Oryza sativa Japonica Group: one gene and its partner. Each later gene encodes a partner of the first gene's protein in a complex. Links are inferred from orthologs where the notes say so. Each region holds a gene or a part of one and is shown on either strand. Other genes may lie near its edges.

Region 1 (3,266 bases):
GTCCAACTCCAACCCAACGCCTCCATGTGCCTTGCCCCTCCTCCCCCCTTGGCCGAGATGATGATAAGCTGCTACGCCTTGCTCAGTTGCTCCCATGCCTTTTGAACGCTTTTGAGACCGTGACCAAGCTGGCGCGGCGCTGCATGCGGCGTGAGAACGAGCGTCGCAGCACGACGCGCGGGCACCACGACGACTCCACGAGTCCACGAGCGTTTTCACGCTCGTTTCGCACAGGCTCACGCGTTGCCGCAGCCCGTTTTGCAGAGGCCTACGCGTGGACGGCCTAGGCTCGTGGTGCGCGGAGCGGGCCGGGCTTTTTCAGGGCATCACCGGTGTTAGTTAATCGCAGTAGAAGGGGTATATGCCCCCGTGACCCCAAATCTCTTCGAAAGAAAAGAAATTCCCCTTTTTCTTCAAGTTCAAAATATCGAGTTACATTTATTTAACTGGATCATGGTATAGTAGTATCAAGAGGTATTAGCAATCTTCCCTGCGGATGATGGAGCCCAAATCGTTTACCTTACAGAGATCAATCACAATTCATTTCCATAAACAAAACCGTATCCGAAAACAGTTTGAATCGATCTACAGGGTCATGTAACAACAAAGATCCGTGTAACCAAAGCAAGAAAAAAAGAAACAAGGTTCTCAAGGATGGGAGAATTGAGATATCCTCTTAGGTTGACAAGCTGCCACCACCCTGTTGCCAAAGGTTGATGATATCAGTGGCCTGATTCAGAAGGATGATCATCTGTTTCTGAGAGATCCACTCTTTCTCCTCCAGCTTTGCTCTTAGCTCCTCCCAGGCATCTTTCCGTGGCCAGAAGTAGTATGGGCTTAACGGAATGCTGCCATAGCCGGGAACCAACTGGTCGAGGGCTATGCCAATGTTCTTCTCCATCCATATGAACTTCAGAACAAGCATTGGATCCTGCCTTTCAGGCACCTTAACCTTGTACTGCGATACAAAATCAATTCGTTTCAAATCTCATAATGCTAATACTGATTTTGCATATCTGAGTAAAATAAATTGTGCAGTTTTAACACAGCTCAAGTCGTAGTAAAATAAATTGCAACAACTACTGTACGTGTTCCATTGACAACTTCATTTCTCTACAAAAGGCCCCATTTTTCAACTGTGAGGGTAACTCCCATATAATCAAAACTAATCCACTTTTAGTGTACATCTCTGAAATCTGATATAGTGATGAAAAAGGAACTTATTGTGCCTGTTAATGTTGTTACATAATCACGTAAATAGCTGAATGAAAAAAAACTCCTTTCATGACCAAAACCTGTCAATGCTACAGTTTGTTCAATAGTTCAGTTCTTGCTTACACATACAACCAAAAATGGCACACGCTCAAGTTTGTGGACATGCTTTCATGTGCTCTTCGCCTCTTCATCACTAGCATACACCTTTTATCTGCAGAAGTGCAAAACTGCACCAAAAGGACAGCCCGAGTGCCCAAACATGCTCAACTAGACTAGAACTTCTCTAATTTACTCTACTTGTGACTTCTCTTAAGCTTTCAGCTGTGCATTGTGTCTAAAGATTTACTCTACTCGTGAATTCACCCAAATGTACACCTCGTACTGTATTTCACCTATGAGCTCAAGTAATCAGTTCGGTAACCAAAATTGATTCAAGAAAAATCAAATTCATGCGAAACCAAATGTGATTGAACTCCATCCTCTTCAAAAAACAACACTTCCTTCTGAAATTGAGCTCGACTCGGTAAAAAAAAAAACCCCGTAATTTCAGTCACTGGCATGGTTTGGAGCGGCTACTAGCCCATTACCTCCTGCGCTTCCTCGCCGGCGCTCGCATCCCCACCTCCGACTTGCTTCTCCTCTTCTCCCTCCTCCGCTTCGACGGCGCCAGAAGCGGCGGCGGCGGCGAGGCCACGGAGCGAGCGAAGGGGAAGCCTCCTGCTGCCGAGGTGGACGAGGCGTGGAGTGGAGGAGGAGGAGGTGGTGCAGGGGGAGGCGGCGGAAAGCTTGGGCCGGGAGATGCGGGCGCGCGAGGCGAGGGCCGGCGTGGCGGCGGGGTGGACGGACATCGCCAGCATCGTGTCCGAGTCCGAGGCTCCTGTGCGGATAAGAGGAGGAAGACGATGGTGCGGGGCTGCCTCCTCTTATCTTTACCCTTAATAATCCCCTTCTCGTCAGCTATTAGATGTGGGCTAGAAAGTTATGGTAAAGCCCAATATGGCCCAGCACAAAACGGCCCGGCCCAGATCCAATCTAAGTAAAAAGCTCACAGCTCAATCGTCTCGGTTATTCGAGAATAAACGAAATGGCATATTTGTAAATAAAAAATAATTTGTGAATAAATCTTTTATATATATATTTTTAACGATCTAAAAGCAAAGACTGAAAAATAAACCTTCGATAAAAAAAATAAAATCAACCCCAAATTTAAAGGTAAAAATTTAAATTTTGACTGATAAACATAAGTATAAGCGAAAAGATGAGGCCGTCCGTTTGCCTTCAGCAGGGTTTGCAAAACCGTCTGTAACCGTGCGATTACCGCGCTTACCGTGGGGTACGGTAAAAGGGAAACCGCGGTAACCCCCTTAAATTCAAATAAATTTAAAAAATAATTTTAAATTTTGATAAATTTTACACGGTTACCGTGTGGTAACCCCGGTCCGGTGGTTTGGGAAACCCTGGCCTTCAGTAGTGCTAGTGCCCAGTTGCCAACCGCTTGGGCGTAGTAAAAACTGATAGTGGAATGAAATGAACCGGGTACAAAGTACTGAAATGATCGTAAGTTTTGAAAAAAAACAAGCAGGAGTAGTAACTTTGCAAGTAAGGATGCTACATTCTCTGATAGTAGTTTCAGTGTTTTACACATTCTATAAGAACACCGAACAAAACAAGCATCGAATTTCAAATGTCGATACAGCCTTGAACAGTTGAAGTTCTTGCCCACAAGTTTAATCGAAAGCATTGTCAGGTTAACCCAAGAACGTGATTAATAATTACTAACATTAATATTAGTCCCATCTTATTCGACAATCATTGCTAAACTATTTACTGTGTCATGAGATCGAATCAAGTTTGATGCCGGCGAGGTTTTCTCCGCTCAGAAGTCCGGCGCCGGCGAGTACGCGTGGGAGGCGGGCACAACCACGGCCGTCGACATAGGTGCCGACGAGGAGTTCACCAGGTTCAGTATGCTGTTCCAGTAGTTCTTCTCCTCCTCGGTCTCCTGGAACTCGCCGTCGGCTTCCGCGTCTCTCCCCGCCGGCCTCGGGATC
Region 2 (3,055 bases), on another chromosome or scaffold:
TGAACTTATCAAATGTTAGGACTGTGGGAAAATGTTTGGTTTGTTACTTCACCAAATTTTTGAACAGATGGCGGGTTTGTTTCGTACGTTACCAAATTTTGGTAAGGTAGGGATACTCGAACATATTTGGTTCGTTATCTTACCAAAATTTGTGATGGCTTGAAATGGTAGCAAACAAAACATGCTTCAGGGTTTAGGGTTCTTAAAGCCATTGCGTAGCAGGGTTTACACTTCCAGTTTGGGCCAAAATTGTAGTATATTTCGGGCGAGATAGTTGCTTACCCTTGTGGGCGGGGGGAGCAGCTCACAACAAACTTGCAGACGAAACAACAAAAAATGACAGAATTTTAACATACAATTACCACCAAGCTGACCAGTTGAACTGGTTTGTTGTCCAGCTTTAAAGGAATATGTTTTGCAGATCATCAAAACAATTTCTTGTGTCAAAACTCAAGCGCATAACAGAGTCAACAGACAAAACAACAAAAAAGGGGCAGATTTCTGACCCGATCTGATGGACTGGTTTATTAGTTGATTCTTAAGAACTGCTTCCCAGATCATCACAACAAATTCGAAGCATGTCAAAAGGTGCTTGAATTCAGGGACACAGCTAGAAAAGAAAAAAAAAAGAGATACTGCATCTTCCCTGGTTTCTAGCAAGAACATGAAAGTTTGGTGATTGTATCTGTACTTATGTTCTGCTTCAGCTGGTAATGCATAAAAAATGACTCTAAGCAGCACCATTCATATATATTACAAGGAAAGAAATCATAGGCATCTACATTATGTAGAATGAGACCATGTAATGTACTGTAATTAATTTCAAGAAACAGTGTTTGGTACAGACTAGACAAAAGGTAAGCTCAAGGTAAACCATAATTCAAGGGGGGAAATTCAGACAACCTATTCCAGGATGTCATCGTCGATGTCGATCGGGGTGACCTCGCCGTCGTCGAACTGGTCCTTCCTCGGAGGCGCAGGCGGCGCGAACAGCCGTGCAGGGCCAGTTCCCTTCTTCTTGTTGCGCGGCCTCGCCTGAGATGAGCAAACAGCAGTCAGCAGATGGCAAGTCTGAAGAATTGCAGCAAACAGCAGCACAGGAAGCAATAAGCATATGATTTTTTTATTAATTTTATTTTTGTGCTAGAGACTCACATTTCCGTACGAGTGGTTGAACCTTTTTCCCCTCTTGGTCTTCTTGTCCCCTCTCCCGCAGTAAACTGGTCACACCAAATGGAGTAATTTGAGTTGGAATCGTAATTGGTTCAAACTGCGAGGTTTTTGTTTCAATCTATGTTTTGGTGCTGTATCAATTGAATTCGTGCAATACGATTTGAAAAGCAGTTTCATATAAGATCATCGAGCCAATTTCACACCAGACTAATCCGAATTGACGAACAAAACAGAGACAGGGAGGTTAGGTAGGCATGTCAGTTACCTTCAAGAACTGGAGTGAGCGGGGCCGAGAGGGTGGCGGCGGCGGCGGCGGCGACGCGAGAGCGGGAGCGGGAGAATGCGGCGGCGGCGGGGAGCGCGCAGTAGGAGGAGACGGCGGCGTGGTGGTGGGAGGAGGGGAAGGTGGCCGGGGACGCGGCCATGGCGTGGACGGCGAGGAGCGCCATGGAAGCGAGAGAGGAGTGAGAGCTTGAGGAATGGATGGAATCGGATAAGCTGTGCGTGCATCGGAGTAGATAAAACGGAGGGAAAGGGAAGCCCAGGCCCATGGATTGGGCTTTGTCTCTTGGGCCTATGGACCAAGCCCATGATTGGCTTGGCCCTCTGCAATTCTGATGTTTCTCTTTCTTTTTTTTTTGTCCTCTCATTTCTTTTTCTATAGATAATCATTTTTTTATGATTAAATTATTACTACTAGTATAAAACTTATGAAGAATATAGCAAAGTTATGATATTTTTAGGACTTCTGAAGACAAATCTAGCCATAACGTTTTTAAGATTTTAGAAATCGAAACGTTCAAAATGATATTGATGGTTAAAGCTCAAACACTGTTATGAATATTAGTGGAAGAGATGAAAAACCAGTGTTTTTAAGTGTCTTTGGTTCTGGGAATGTGACTATAGCGTTTGTTGAGTATACAAAGTACAAACAAATAGTTTTCCATGATGGCACCTGGGCAATTAATTAACCCAAAAAACTAGTTTACATATTACTAGTTTCAAACATTAAAAGCTCATATTAGTACCATGACACTTTCTGCTACAATTACTGACTAATAACACAAGTTCATGGCACTTTGTAGACAGGCAAGGAGAGTGTGCATAAGCAGGGCTTTACATAACTTCATACAGTATATATGGATTATGGAGCTACAGATGCAATCCAAACACAACAAAAAGGCACCATTAAGCATTATGAGTATCTGATTGGCACAAAAACTTTTCAGCGACAGAATTTTCAAGAGACTGATAGCTGCTATGTATATGTTCTTTATTTTCCTTGGAACTCATACTGTTCTTCTTACTTCCTTGAGCTCACTGCATAATCACGGGGACCAACTTGCCTCAGTAACTGCATCAGCAGAAGGAACAGGAGATAACCAAGTTGTTTAGCCATGTAGCAATGCTGAAAATAAGGTAAACAGAAAGAGAGAGAGACAAGGATGTAGTACAACATACCTGAAAATATGATTCCAGCTTCTGCTTCAGAGTGGCATGCTCCCTCTTCATCTTCTGAAGAGACCTGCGGCATCTGAAAGAGAACATGGCCTCATCACATCATGTGAGGAAATTGCATGATGATTGGATAGTATGTGAAGAACAAGTTGGACGAGTCAATGAAATGCATACCCTTCCAGATTCCTGTCATTGCAGTTTACTTTGAACACAGAGCACTCATTCTTCATCCTCAGTGCACCAATGCTGCGCCAAACACAGGCCAACTTTAGCGAATTTTGAACACATAAAGCAGGCAAAGATGACAAGCTTTCGGTGAGAACATTCATATTAACAAATAATATTTGTTCATTTCACATCAATAAGCATTCTTAAGTTTGAATGTTTTTATATTGGTTATTTAAGACCTAAGACATGATTTTAC

The links. The genes of interacting proteins can lie anywhere in the genome.
Region 2: small ribosomal subunit protein cS23 (region 1) and 30S ribosomal protein S31, chloroplastic share a complex: the UniProt entries of both Arabidopsis thaliana proteins name them as parts of the 30S ribosomal subunit. The link is inferred for Oryza sativa Japonica Group from reciprocal best matches to the Arabidopsis thaliana genes PSRP3/1 and PSRP4.

Annotation. Positions count from the first base shown.
Region 1 is NC_089038.1:23,520,436-23,523,701, reverse strand, and holds small ribosomal subunit protein cS23, read right to left. Parts: upstream 2,125-3,266; 5' UTR 2,073-2,124; coding exon 1,803-2,072; intron 959-1,802; coding exon 677-958; 3' UTR 515-676; downstream 1-514. Other genes in the region: transcription factor MYB106, read right to left, coding at 3,092-3,266. UniProt on the Arabidopsis thaliana protein: Component of the chloroplast ribosome (chloro-ribosome), a dedicated translation machinery responsible for the synthesis of chloroplast genome-encoded proteins, including proteins of the transcription and translation machinery and components of the photosynthetic apparatus.
Region 2 is NC_089039.1:5,295,862-5,298,916, forward strand, and holds 30S ribosomal protein S31, chloroplastic, read right to left. Parts: upstream 1,669-3,055; 5' UTR 1,623-1,668; coding exon 1,439-1,622; intron 1,221-1,438; coding exon 1,156-1,220; intron 1,072-1,155; coding exon 904-1,071; 3' UTR 513-903; downstream 1-512. Other genes in the region: pseudo histidine-containing phosphotransfer protein 2, read right to left, coding at 2,477-2,527, 2,635-2,707, 2,806-2,877.